Lytechinus pictus: one gene and its partner. The protein of the gene in region 1 interacts with the protein of each later gene in a pairwise test. Links are inferred from orthologs where the notes say so. Each region holds a gene or a part of one and is shown in the gene's direction. Other genes may lie near its edges.

Region 1 (7,440 bases):
TTGTATATTTTTTTTCCGACCTGAAATCCGAACATCATGTGTACTTTTTGTAGCCATGAACGTGATCTTCACTAAATAAATAATGCCAGCGCGAAGCTCGAGCCGATTTTGTTTTTATTCCAATCTCAAAACTAAAGATTTTAAGCGCTTTATTAATATAAAAATGTGCACTGTGTAACTCCATAAACAATTTGAACACGAAGCGTGAGCAGAAATTTTTAATATTGATTTAAAAGAGACCTTTTTAATCGCTGATTTTTCATCTACTCATTTTTTTCTTTTCTTTCCCCTTTTCTTTCTTTCTTTTTTTTCTTCCAAATTTCATGTTCTTCCATTTTCGCGCCGCCATAGGGGGGGGGGGGGGTGGTGCAGCCCCTTCGGCCCCTGGATCTGTCAATGGACTACTGATATTTTAATCATTGGTTGAAATCCCCCATGGCTTGGAACGAATGTGAATAAAGTACATGCAGAAAAAAACCGGGGAACCTTATTACATGGTTATGCTAATGTGCATATTTTATTTTATTTTTCCTTTTTTTTTTTACTGCAAACTGTTCAATTTATGTTCTAATCCCCAACCTCCAATTACACAACTATCGTTCAATTAATCCAAGATACATTGATAATTTTTCCTTTTCCTTTTTTTATATTTTTCCCCTATTTAGTATTCAGCTCTCGTTAATGCAAGAAATTATTTTTAGTTCATTCATTATTTTTATCTTAATATGACGTGCGTGGCTTTTTCCAACGCAATTACGCCTATTCACATAATCTCTAATACCGAATTTGTTAGATCTGCTTATTTATTTCACGTAATCCTTTTTTAACATTTCAGGGGATTCGCAGTTGAAAAACTTTTCATTGTAATTTATCAATAAATGCGCTTAAACATATTATGAAGAGGTAACAGGTAAAAGGGACTTAATCCATTTTTCAACATTTGGTATTTTTGGAAGGTTTAGACGGACATTCACCGCTTGTGCATCAAACTGACTAAAGTGCAACTCCCAAAAGATTCAAAAACTTTATTAAGAATGGACATGAAATTTACTTTTTCCACGCAAAACAGACTAAATCTGAAACATTGTTTATGCAAAACGAATTAAATCTACCTTTGCTGAATCTTCATAAACCATTTTTTTCCACCCAAATCTATATTACAATTCAGGAAGTTATCTTCCTACATTTATGAGCCATCAATATATCACTTCGTAATTCCGAAGGTTCATAATTCCGAAGGTTCTTTATTCCGACGGTTCGTAATTCCGAAACACGTAAATTGCCTATACCTCGATGTTCGTTAATCCGAAAACGTAAAAGGGTTCGTTAATCCGAACATTTGTGGCGTTATTCCGAAGGTTCGTTAATCCGAAAACGAAATAAGGTTCGTTGTTCCGAAGGTTTGTTAGTCCGAAAACGAAATAAGGTTCGTTAATCATTAGTTTTCGGACTAACGAACCTTCGGAATTACGAACCTCATTTCGTTTTCGGATTAACGAACCTTCGGAATTACGAACCTTCGGAAATACGAACCTTCGGAATAATGAACCTTCGGAATATCCGAACCTTCGGAATAACGAAGCTTCGGAATTACGAATGTATGCGCAATAGGTTGATGATAAAAATGATAGTTTAAAAATCCTGCAGATGTCTTTTATTTGATATGAATTTGTGTATATATTTTGGATATAATCCCTTTTTGCATGAAAAGTCCATGCAGAGGGGTAACAAATGTACAGAAGGTTTAACATGAACATTATAGTACTTATCTCTTCCCCTACCCTTAGTTTATAGATTGGAAATGGTTGACTGGTCTCTATACTAGTTACAGGTAGAAGATTTGCCTGACATAGCAACAAATTAAAATTAGTTTTCATTCAAAAAGGACTAAATCCATAAAAATTATAAATATAAAAGAATCATATAAAATAAAAGACATCTGCAGCTTTTTTTTTTTCGTTACCAATATTGATGACTCTTAAACATAGTATAGTAATTTCCTGAAGGGAAACATAGATTTGGGTGAAATTAGAAATGTTGATTTATGAAGAATGAGCAAAAGTGGATTTAGTCGCTTTTTCATGCAAATTCTTCATAACTTTGAATGGATCTAAAAACCGACAGTGTAAATATTCAAAACATCAAGCGTAATGAATTTGTTCAGGTTTGTCTCTCGATGACAAATTGGCCGTCCGCAAAATAAGTGAATTAAAAGCAAGATTTGAAAATCAAATAAGAATATAAAACTAAAAAAAAGCCATATATAAAAAGAAATATAAGAATATATAAATAATGATAGATTTATTGATTTGTATGGAATACACTTTCCTATGCATGGCCCTGGGAAGCGGGGGTGCTGAGGCACCTCCAAGATTTTCCCAGGGGGTGCTGCGTGTACACAGCAAAAACTGTGGTGTTAACCGGTGTACATAGAGGACCACACCAGTTGTTTTACACCGGTGTTAAATTAGTGGTGTTAGTTTTACACCCATAGGTGTTATTACAACACCTTTGGCTGTTACATTTACACTCTTTGGTGTTATGTTCATTCTCTAGGGTGTAATTTTAACACCTCAGGGTGTGGTCCTCTATTAACACCAACTGGTGTCAGTTTTAACACCACAGTTTTTACAGTGTATTACTCTCCATAGGCAGCACCCCTAGAAAATCTGGTATGGTAAATTTTGAAAAATATAGGGAAATTACGCACCTTTTGGAGTGAAAACCTTTCTTTATTTATTTTTGTTTGCTTGTCAAATTTCTTGGCACCAAAACGGCTTTTTTTTTGCTATTTAAATTTACTTCAGCACCCCCAGCAAAAAAAAAAATCGTTCTCAGGGCTCTGCATGCTTCTATTCTGTTTTATCAAGGACTCTCGTTGCCCCGAACCATAGGCTTCTTATAACGAGGACCTGTCGAGTGATCGTGTCAGCATATCTATCCCAAAACAAATCTAATACTCGTACTTCAAGAACAAAAAAATATTAAGTAAATTTTATATACATCCGTTTCAAATCCGATTTTGAATGTTTACATGATTTTGTCGATAATTATGCTCAATGTGTACACTCGTATATATATATTTTTTTATAAACATGTGAACATATATATTTTTAAGAATTCATTTCATTGTTTCTCCAACCGTCCTGCTTCAAATTGCCACATTAATATAATTCCTCAGTAACTCATTGCCCCCGAGATCCATACAGTTCATGACAGAATAGTATCATACTCACTTCCTGTAAAGAAAAAAAAACGAAGAAAAAAAAATAATTGGTTACCCATCCAAGCCAAATTTACAGAATGATGGTATTTTCAGAGTATCCGAACAGATTCATTTCTGATACCACCACAACCACCATTATCATCGTTATCATCATATATATATGATGAAGGAATTGAAAAATTAGACATTGATAAGGATCTAAAGAAAAAGGGAAAGTAAGAAATGTATATTTTGCCAGTTATTTTGTAATTGTATTTCAGAGTTTTGTATGTGATATTGATTTTGTATGAAAATAAATGCCCCTGTTATGGGTGAAAAAAACATCATCATCATCATCATCCACCACCACCACCACCACCATCATCATCATCATCCTCCTCCTTCTCCTCTTCCTCCTCCTCATCATCATCATCATCCACCACCACCACCATCACCACCATCATCATCATCATCATCATCATCATCATCATCCTCCTCCTCCTCTTCCTCCTCCTCCTCCTCCTCATCATCATCCTCCTCCTCCTCCTCCTCTTCCTCCTCCTCCTCCTCCTCATCATCATCCTCCTCCTCCTCCTCCTCTTCCTCCTCCTCCTCCTCATCATCATCATCCTCCTCCTCCTCATCATCATCATCATCCTCCTCCTCCTCCTCCTCCTCCTCATCATCATCATCATAATCATCATCATCCTCCTCCTCCTCCTCTTCTTCCTCCTCTTCCTCCTCCTCATCATCATCATCGCCTTGAGTAAAGTGGAAGGTACGCTACGAAAATTGGATTATTATGACCTTTAGCGGCAACAGCATCGTCACCAGTTCCCTATTCAGTCAATCAAACATTATTTTGTAATGTTTTATTTGAATAAATATATAAATCGTTTAATCACATTCCATGAAAATTCGTTTGGAGACACTATTGCTTCAAATAAAAATCCGTTTGCAATTGTTTTGCGTGAATCATATAGAATCAAATTAAAGGTATTATGTGTCACTATATGGTCCGAATGCATACTTTTGTATCTTGGAAAAAAATTGCTATCATTACGGAGGTAGAATAACAAACAACCAAACAAAACAAATAAACAAAGCCAAATCAAGTTGGTCTCAGAATTATTTGTTGGGTTTGTTTGTAGGAGACTAGGAGTAGCATGAGCAAGAGATGGCGCCCCACCATCCGATTTTACTACCCCGGCCAAATATGCAATAAAACCAACAAATTTTACAACCAACGGGACTACAATCTTCTTCGCGTAATTTGCCTGTTGATTAGGTTGATGTCTCGGAAAAACTCTGCTCGTAAAGAGTTATTGATTAAAAATGTCAGCTTCGCCATTGAATACACAGGAGCAAGCATGCATCAGTATGAAATATCTTGGTAAAATGTGTTTAAGATACCAAGAAACATGTGCTTGGTATCGAAAGTGGGTCGTCGAAAATCCTGACGTTGTTTCTCAAGTGGAAAAGACATTTCGTGTGCTTTCATACTGCATAACGGGTGAGTAATTCTCTCTTTATTAACAAAAAAAATCACGGTATTATTTTTCTTCTTAATTTCAACACAGCTCCTAACACTATATTGCATATATATATAAAAAAATGTGGACTTTAGCTATGGTAGCCAGCCTGAACTGTGTCGATTGTCCAACAACAGGCCATTTTCAATAATTCAAAATCATTGTCTTTCCACTCACTTCTCTGTTCTCACTCTCAGTCATCATGCTTCATCGATCATGGACCGTCTAATTTTTTAAATCTATTTTGTAGAAGTTGTTGTTTCAATTTTTAGAATAAATGAAATGGATCTAACTTAGCTAGGATAAAGGTAGACAGGAATAACTGTCGTTTCTGGGGATTTATTCAACAATTTCTGACATTTTACTATAGGGCCTAATCCCCATTCACCTTGACTTGAGTGAGCCAACGCAGTTCAGCGGAACAACCAAAATACAGAGACTGAAGCTTTTGGTCTAGGATAAAGGTACCTCGAGCGATGTTCGTGCAGGCTCCACTCCACTTCACTACCGCTACACTACGCTCCACTTACCGAAGGTAGGTGGAGCGTAGTGTAGCGGAAGTGGAGTGGAGCCTGCACGAACATCGTTCGAGGTAGGATATAGATTAAAGGCACCTATTCTTTATTATAAGCAAATGATTCACTAGACAGGAATAACCATCGTTTCTGGGGATTTATTCAGCAATTTCTGACATTTTACTATCATCCCCTTTCACATGACTATTGGTGAGTGAGCCAACGCAGTTCAGCGGAACAACCAAAATACAGAGACTGAAGCTTTTGGTCTAATGATTCACTCCTTTTCCTTGTTTTTATCAATCTCAGAATCAATAATTTAAAACCAGTGCAGTGTAGGCTGTATTAAGATAAACTAAAACTTAAGTTAAAGTAAACATGTCTGCGCACTTAAGTTATAATTAAAGTTAAGATTTAATAAGAATTCCACAAAACAATTCAGTTTCAGAAGTTCCTTATATTCTATGAGTAAGTGTGCCAAAAATCTCATAAAAATATGGAAAAACCTCGGCCAGTCATTTTCAGATTGAACAAAACAATGCCATGGTGCCCCATGTCTGCGCACCCATAAATTTTGATGAGAAAGGCTGCATTTTGAGGCTGTCACATGAAATGCCAATATTCATTATTTTTCCACCATTTTGAGTCAGATTTTTTAATCAATATCTTTCTATTTATTGCATGTGTAAAGTTTGTGGTTGCGTATCTTCTTTCTTTAGAATCATGCAGTTATGTGTATGCATGTGTGCGCAGACAAGGGCTTATTTTTTTTCTTTCATTCTCTCCCCCTCTCTTAATTTCTTTTTTTCTTCCTCTGGTTATTTTCAGTGATTTCCCCTTTTTGTATTGTGTGTCCTAGTCCCCTCCAAAATATATGAAAAATATATGAGATTAGGAAATTAATTAAAGAGCATATTGACCATATATATTTTGTCATGATGTTCAAGATAAAAATTATTAAAAAAAAGAAATACAACTAAAAGGTACATCTAGTCCGGGTTATAATTGAGCAAGGTGCCACAAGAAAAAGGAGAAATTTTCATATAGTGCTTCTAGACCAGTTTTTTACGCTGAATATGAATATATGAGGTAACCAGGCTGTATCCTGAAAATTAACCAGTGAGGGTGCTTTTTTCAAAATGGCCGCCGAATTTTCAGAACATTTGAATTTTCGTACATAGATTTTGACATAAATATTCCATTGCCACAAAATTAGTGTCATATGAAAGACAAATAAATTTTCTACAATTTGGTACTATTTATAGGGGATAAGTAGGTCATTTGGCTGAGATTTTAAGTAGAAAACTGCATTTTTTGTCATTTTTTCCCAAAAATTGAAAATTTAGCAAATACATGATTTTACATAATTCTGAGAAAAATGAATGAATTACCTTGAAATGTTCCAGAAAACTTTATTGACATACTATTATCATGTGGATGAAATTCCAACTCTGTATCATTCTTCTTAGCAAATTTATAAGGTATCAAACTTGAATACTTCAATTTCAGAAATGTCGCTTTTTGTATGCATTTCCATAGACTAATACGTATAACATGTACTGTACATGTATAATATGTATAATGTATAGTTTAATAAAATTTAAATGCAATTATCTCCGCTTTTTAACCACTTGGAGAGTTAAGAGTAGGCTTTTCTCTATCAGCTACATAAAACAAAATGTTGGCACATCAAGGCCTGACCCTCTCATGGGGTGGGGGTGTCGAAGTCACCCCCCCCCCTTGCCCTTGGCTATATCATGTTGTATATTGCCTATTTGTTGGAAAAATATCTGTTTTTTGGAGTACCCATTGAAGCAAAAACAGGCATTTCTGCTATACAGTACAGTCACTTTGATTGCTTTGAAACCACTTGGAGAGGAAAGAGTATATAGGCTTTGTTCTACCAGCTACATACAAAGTGGCACATCGAAGCCTACCCCTCTCGGGGGGGGGGGGGGTTGCTTAATATTGCCAATTTATTTGAAAATTCACAATTTTGGACCCAACATTGAGGCCAAAAATCGTTTGTGCTTTGTTGTACACCCCATTTTATTGATTTGAAACCACTTAGAGAGGAAAGAGTAGAGTTTGTTCTACCAGCTACATATAAATAAGCACTGGCACATTGAACCCTAGCCCTCTCATGGGCTGTCTAAGTCACCCCCCTCCCCCTCTATATCATGTATAT
Region 2 (7,900 bases), on another chromosome or scaffold:
TATCTTTTAAAAAAAAGTTGCGAGCGAGCGAAGCGAGCGAACAAAAATTTTGACCTTTTTAATAGAAAAATCAAATTTTATGGTAGATTTTGACATGATATCCAGAAAATATTTCACTATTCTTTCTTTAGATTCCTTTTTTGTGGTCTGTACGCCACTGTGAACAGGATTCTTTGCTGCAGCAGCGTGAAGAGTAAAAAAAAACGAGGGGCGCAGTATAGCACATGTGCTAAAAAGCTGCTTTATATACAAGTCCCGAGCGAAGCGAGCGAGAAAAAAAATCACCTTTTCATGAGAATCTAACTTTGAGCTATTTTTTGACATTATATTCAGTAAATAAAATCATATCCTACACTTTTCCATTGCTTTCCTTTCCTCCTTTTTTTCTTGTCTGTAGAACTATTTTGGGCCATGGCCCAACCCTTCCATATACGCAGTGCTGTGCGGTTGGGGTCCGGGGCGGAGCCCCCGGAACTTCTTGATATCAAAGCCATTTAAACCTCGCAGATTGCCGCTATTTCAATCAAATCGCGGGCATATAGTTTTTATTCAACCCAGTTGCGTAATGAAGCAACATATTTTGAGGGGGCAAAACATAGCAATGTGGGAAAAATTTGTAAAAAGTCGCCAGCGTGCAAAGCGAGCTGGAAAAAAAAATTGCCTATTGAAATCAAATTCTTATTATGTGATAGATTTTTCCATTATATTCAGCAAATAACACATTTCATTGTTTCCATTCATTTCATTATACGTTGTCTCCTATAATTTCTTTTATTTCCTCTTTGGTGTGGAACCAAGACCCCCCCCCCCCCCCCCTTCGCGCCTGTATGCCAGCGATTGAACGTGATTGTACGGGGGGGGGGCGTTATAGAGCCATTTGAATGTTATAAATAAAGAACCCCTACTGCGTGGGGTCTGGGGCAAAGCCCCGGTAGCTTATTTGCATATAATTTAGCAACCTTATAGAGCAATGTTGTATGCAGTCCATTTTTCTTCCCGCTTTTTAATTTCAATCATCGGCAGCCCGGTCGTGTTATTATTTTTGTTCGTGTCCCTTTTCTTTGTTTTCCACTTTAGTTTTTGACTAATTACATTCTATCTTCGCTTCCCGCTATTGTTTGCCATTTTATCATATTTTAATTTGTTCCCACCGTGCTATTGCATTACATAGGCCTATTTCGAAATGATTTGTTCTTTCTCAAATGTTCTTCTTTGGTACATTTTCCGGCTTTCCTTCCTTTTCCATTTAAAAAAATGTTTTTTCTTCGTTTTCTTTTAATTTTCCCTTTACTTTTCCCTTTCCTCCTTTCTTTTTCCCTTTCCTTCCCCTTTCCCTCTCTTTCTCCCTCTTTTTTTCTTTTTCCCGCTTTTCTTTTATTTTCCCGGTGAAATCCGCCAGGGGGGGGGGGGGCAACTTGCCCCCCCGCCTGTTACGCCACTGGTGAAGATCAATTCACATGTGCCTCAGATTCGATGTGTCAATATGAGAAAGGCGGGGAGGAAGGTATCTTATTAGTAATTCATGTTTGATCTTGAAATCTTTTCTGGATTTGTTGTTAAAGGTCAAGTCCACCCCAGAAAAATGTTGATTTGAATAAATAAAGAAAAATCAAACAAGCATTATGCTGAAAATTTCATCAAAATCGGATGTAAAATAAGAAAGTTATGACATTTTAAAATTTCGCTTATTTTTCACAAAACAGTGATATGAACAGCTCAGTGATATGCAAATGAGACAGTCTATAATGTCCCTCACTCACTTTTTCTTTTGTTTTTATTGTTTGAATTATAAACTATTTTTCATTTTTTACAGATTTGACAAATTAAGGACCAACTTGATTGAACCATATAGTATTAAACAATGCTAATTGCACATGTTCAGGGAGGAATTAACCGTTGTTTCACACGACAACAGGGAGAAAATGGGAATATTTCATATTTCACATAATAAAATACAAAAGAAATAGTGAATGAATGATGTCATCAGTCTCCTCATTTGCATACCGACAAGGATGTAAATATAACTGTTTTGTAAAATTAAGCGAAATTTTGAAATGTCATAACTTTCTTATTTTACATCCGATTTTGATGAAATTTTCTGTGTTATGCTTGTTGGATTTTTCTCTTTTTATTCAAATCAACTTTTTGTTGGGGTGGACTTGTCCTTTAAGTTACAATCAACTTTTTACAAATTTTACATAGACGTCACATTCATATGTCTTTGTCAATAGATTGACAGGTCTGCAGTTGCAACACATCATGATGTGTAATTAGTAAATGTTTGTGGGATACCATTTTTTGCCTAAATAATAATTGGAAGATATTTGCCTAGGAGACACGAATTTTTTAGTTCTGGGATGTCACAAAAATCGACCCAACCCGATGGACTTACCCTTATGAAATATTATATGGGATATTATACCCGTCTTAGATTATGAATAATGGAAATAAATCCATACAAGTTTTTGTTTATTTTTCCATATTGTTTTATTCAATCATTCATAGCTGCAATGATATTTTCTTATGAATACGAAATTCATATATGCATTGATTTATTTTTCTTTACTCTTTAAAAAAAATATTCTGCTTTTGAGTGAGATATGGGCTTATTGCTGGAAAAAACACAAATACATAAAAAAAAATGAAATTCATACCAACTCATTGACCTGGCTTTCAATATGTAATTCTTTTCAATGTTTGAGTGGGTGAATTGATGATGATGATGATGATGATGATGATGAAGACGATGATGACCATCAATGATTTCTTATCATACATTAATGGTGAGCGGAAAGATTCCAAAAGAATACTATAGACATAAATACAAAATTGATATTAATTTATATTTCTTTTTAAAATAAAATAAATATCTTGCATGTTTTTATTGCAATGCAATCCATGCTGAGTCATGGGGGTGAAAATTTATATTAATAGTACATGTGATTTTCTTAAAATAAGAATCAGTCGCAATTTGAAATGATTTCGAACTTGGCCCCAAATGCGGCAATACTTTGATTATGCCAGGAAACTTCCCATTTCCCTAATTATGCCGTGTAGTATAATGGTTAGTAATACTATCATGTCAGAGATTTTATTTGAGTATAAGAATGTAAGAACGGCCTAAGTCCATCTCTTGGTCAAATTGAGATACGTTGGTAATTAATAGGGGGCTATACTATGAGCCTATAATATGCTTGCATGATATGTTCTGGAATTCCTCCCGAAAGTGTCCAAAATTGATTTAAAACAAAAAGTGAGCACGATCCTCAGACATAAACAAAACTAATGTTGTTTTCTTAATTTACTCAAAATGAACTGTCATGGACCTGGATCGTTATCACAATCGTATACACATTTTCGTTGTTATTAAAAGAAATATATACATAAATAAACAGAGAGAGAGAAATTTAAAAAATGAGATGATTGATCATTATAATGGAGAATTTGATCATGGGGGTGATGGATTGTGTATTCAGGAAGATCGGAAGAAGTGGGAAGAATACAGAGATCGAGGAAGGGTAAATGAATGAATGAGAGTCGGGTCAAAATGATCATTACAGCAAGGGGAAAACATCGAGATATACAGTGCGTATCAAAAAAAGTTTACACTTTGAAAAAATCCTGTAAAATTATAAATTTGTAATATCCTGAAGATTTTTCCACATTTTAAAATTGGTACAGATCCATTTAAGCAAATGACGATATAACTGTCGAAAATTATTTCCGCTTGAGTGAGCACCACTTACTTTTGAAAATTTAGTGAAAAATGATTTGCGCAGAACTTTGAAATAGTTGTGCAAATAAAAGTAGACCTTAATCATGAAGAAAACGTGGAATTTAGCTAGTAAAATTTATTTGAAGACATCTTTTACCTTTTTAAACTTGTTTCCTTGCCCAAAACACTTCGAGGAGTGCATTGTGCCCCACCCCACTCCCCCACACACCGAGGCCATCGAGATGATATTTGCTTTACATTGAGCTGTGATTTACATGAAATGGCTTAGGCTTGATTTTAATTTTGTTAATCATTGTCAAGCTTGGGAAAAGTGTGGAGAAACAAGTATTAAATGAAAAATGAAATGTAAACCCACTTTAAATGATAAAAACTTAGTGAAAAAATGCTGGAGATGTCTGATATAAACTTTTATGTCCTCAGATCCAGCTCGCACAAAAAAGGGTAAAGGTTGTGCTTACTAAATGTTGAAATTTCAATTTGGGTGTCAAAATTGTTGCAAAATGCTTGAATGTATCCGTTTTATTTCAATTGACTAAAAGAGCAAGGGAAATGTATGAGAGATTTTTCGCAGGGTAAGTTTGATTTCGCCCTTTCCCCTTGACACAGCGTGAAAACGAGCATTTCTGCGCAAACAGATTTCTGCGAGCTTTACAAAAATGGACAGTGCTCACTCAAGTGTAACATTCTGTCAAAACTTTTACTTTCATTGGATAGATGAGACCCAAACCCAAGATTATATGTGAAAAGTTTACCCACATGTTGTATATTTTTGAATTCCCCGGGCTTTTTTAAAGTGTAAACTTTTTTTTTGATACGCACTGTAGAACCCAGCGTTGTATCACGGACAAAACAGCTTATAACAATTATTTTTTGTATTATTTCTGTATAAAAGACAAAATGTACATGTTTGAAAATCAATCAGCCAGTGACAGTTTTTGTCCTTAATTGCTGGAAAATAAACCTCAGTCAAATCGACCAAAGAAGTTTCGGCAACTCACATCGAGAACTTTTGTACCGTGTCTCCGAGGGAGAGATAGCGATCTTGTATTTTCGCTTGATGCGAAGCGAATGCATTTATTTGGACGAGATGATCAAAGTCTATTTTATTGTTTACATTTTCTCGTTTCGCTCACGCGCACGCGATCACGATTACAATGTGAGCTTGTGACCCTTAATACGTCGACTTAATTTGTTTCTTCTAACAATTTAGGAGTTTACACGCCTAGAGTACAATGTTGGGGAGCATCTGGAACTTTGTAAAGCGTCACAGAAGGAAATTCTTCGTGCTTGGTGCATTTGCAGGAGGTATGTTTTAACTTTTATTTTTTTGTTTTCTGAATTTCGATATGTGAATTTTTGTGATGACGTTCCCACTCGTTTATTTTTGTGTGAGTGACTCTGGTCTGGACAACTTTGCCAGCAATAAATCAAAATGTGCGTACGGTACCGTATGTGGAACATGCCATCCGATGTGTGCACACACAAATGGATATTACCAGTTTAGTGTGATATGCACGCAATTGAATAAGTGGTTTCACGCTTATCCAGCGGGTTAAAGCTAATCCCAACACCAAGGCAGTTTGGACCATGCTTTGAATCTACCCACTCCTAGACCTAGTACCAATGAGGTCCAAACATTAACATATATGTATGGACCTCATAGGCGACATTACCCAAATTATGGGTTGGACAATGCTGTTCTGATTTCCAACCCAAGACTTTGGTAAATGTACACCTTAATACAAGTTAGAGTTATCCGATATACCTTTCATTCGGACGGCAAACCTTTATTTAGTTGTAAAAATAGTTGAAATTAAAATCGATTATTGTTAAACTTACATTTCAGGCCCTTTTTGTTGATTTTCGGTGAGCGTTCCACACAGCTGCAACGAGTGATCAACTCCGAAGTGATACGCGTACTGGTCAGCTGATCGGTCAGGTGATCGGTTGGTTATCTTTTTGTCAGACGTTCATAATTTATGTTAAGCGTATCAATCTTCAGTATCTTGATTTCAAAGCTAGGTACGCTACTCTAGCGCGAGAGGGCGCGATTTTCGCGTCATCATTTTCGCGTACGAAAATGGCGACAAGCTGCTTCGGGAGCCGGTGCGAGCAATAACGGCAAGCCCTACTTGAGTCTCCTGTCTAGGATAGTAAACGTATATCAATGGGAATGAAAACGATAACATCATCTTCCCAATGCATTCAGCTATACTGCACGGTTAGCTCTTGCGACGGAGGATCGAGATCGGAACAAAAATTGCACTAAAACAGTCTGTAAGTACAGTTTATGCATCAAATCATCATTATATGTTATTTTCATGGAATTATCAGACATATTACGCTAAAAATACATATGCTACTCGAAAATTGAAGTCGTAAGCTTTCATTTCTTACCTCATTCATGGCAGCATTTCTTGCCACCATTTGCCACGGACGAATGTTAAACGCCCTTGCTATTTGTTTCGTGGGATTTTTTTTTAAGTTTGGCGACGCGTTTCGCGGGCTCATTTATGGCGGCTGCTAGGGTTTTTGGTTGCCCGCGGTGTGTAGTCCTGCGCATTGGAATTTGTGTAGCAGACCGTCTACCGTGATATGTCTGGTATTTCTTTGATTTAAAAAAACTTTTTCTTTTTTATAAATTAGGAATTGAAAACCAGACACAAATGTAGAAATCAGAAATATATCCCACACTGACACACATTAATTTTGATTGAATAAAATATTGAAAAAAAATGGCAAATGACGCAACAACTTTCTGAATCTTCTCGAACCTAATTTTAGCCTTTACTTTAGGTAATTTACTTTAGTCTTGATTTATTATTTGATGATTATATTCTGTTGAAAATTCATGTAACATGATTTCTTTTGGCCTAATCAATCTTTACATTTTTATTATTTTAAAAATGAATGGCCTAGATCTAATTTAATTCATTATCATTTTAATTTTCTTTTGTTTTCATATTTTTATTTTCATTCAGATTAATTTCTTATCTCCATTTGAGCATGGCAATACTTACTGATCTGAAGTCGAGGGGCCCAACAATGAACAGACTTGGGCTGAGCCGTCGAATATCTGTGGTTCCAAGAAAGCGTGATGGAAATGCCGCCTTAAAAAAACCAACCCCACCTCTGCCTCTGGGCTTTGTTCTTGGCGATCCTGCATTCCATTCAGACTGCAACTTTAAGCAGGAATTGTTCTACCAACTACTTAATTATTCACAAATGTGAATTGCAGCTTTTAAATTGACAAGAAAGAAACAATTGATTTATCTCACCCCCCCCCCAACTGTCTTCTAACATTTTCTATCACCCCAAACTAACACTTTTTTCTTGTATGTCTGTTTACATATTTTTATTTAGACTTTATGTAATTTTTTCATGATTTATTTAAGAAGTATGAGCGAAAAAAAAACAATTTGGCACATGCAGTAGAGAAGAGAAGGAACATAGTGTTTCAAAAGGATACACATACAGATCTGAATGTTAAAATAAATTTAAAAAAGAAATGACAAATCCACACTGACACATGAAAGTATTCATTTTATTTTTTTTCCTTGTTGGCATTGGTTACATTAATTAACTCCACATAAAAATATAAATTGGGATATTTTAACAGTATTAATGAAGTTGCTCAATAAAATTTAAAATTAGGTATTCTCATTGGAGGTAATGGTTGATACAGATGGGTGGGTGGACCTGCAGCCACTAGCGTACCTATGGGGGGGGGGCAGACTGCCCCCCCGACGAGTCACAACCCATGCAAGGGACGTATCCCTGCCCCCCCCTGATGAGCCACCGGTGGCCCCCTCCTTTGAAGTTTAAGACCTTTTTTTTTCTGGTGCGAAATGTACTTAATAACCTGTTGAGGACCTTTTTTTTTTTTTGGCTTGTAATTTTTTTTTCTGGTACGAAATCCTTTATTTGTGGTTGAAGACTTTTTTGCTTGTCAAATTTTTGGGCGGACGATTTTGCCCCCCCCCCCTGTGAAAAATCCTAGGTACGCTACTGCCTGCAGCTCTATTGTTTTATTAGATTTTCATTTTTTATTGCTGGGGGGGGGGGGTATTATGTAGAGATGAAGCCAAATGATCTTATGAGGCAAGATTCAGTGTACAGCTCAATATGATGCATGTAAAGTGATTTATTAAACTTTTGAAATAT

Evidence for each region. The genes of interacting proteins can lie anywhere in the genome.
Region 2: the proteins of peroxisomal membrane protein PEX16-like (region 1) and peroxisomal biogenesis factor 3-like interact in binary tests that used the Homo sapiens proteins (3 or more experiments, as listed by UniProt). The link is inferred for Lytechinus pictus from reciprocal best matches to the Homo sapiens genes PEX16 and PEX3.

What each region holds. Positions count from the first base shown.
Region 1 is NC_087253.1:15,132,733-15,140,172, forward strand, and holds the start of peroxisomal membrane protein PEX16-like, read left to right. Parts: upstream 1-4,407; 5' UTR 4,408-4,540; coding exon 4,541-4,718; intron 4,719-7,440. UniProt on the Homo sapiens protein: Required for peroxisome membrane biogenesis. May play a role in early stages of peroxisome assembly. Can recruit other peroxisomal proteins, such as PEX3 and PMP34, to de novo peroxisomes derived from the endoplasmic reticulum (ER).
Region 2 is NC_087261.1:10,885,644-10,893,543, reverse strand, and holds the start of peroxisomal biogenesis factor 3-like, read left to right. Parts: upstream 1-4,885; 5' UTR 4,886-4,968; coding exon 4,969-5,041; intron 5,042-7,900. UniProt on the Homo sapiens protein: Involved in peroxisome biosynthesis and integrity. Assembles membrane vesicles before the matrix proteins are translocated. As a docking factor for PEX19, is necessary for the import of peroxisomal membrane proteins in the peroxisomes.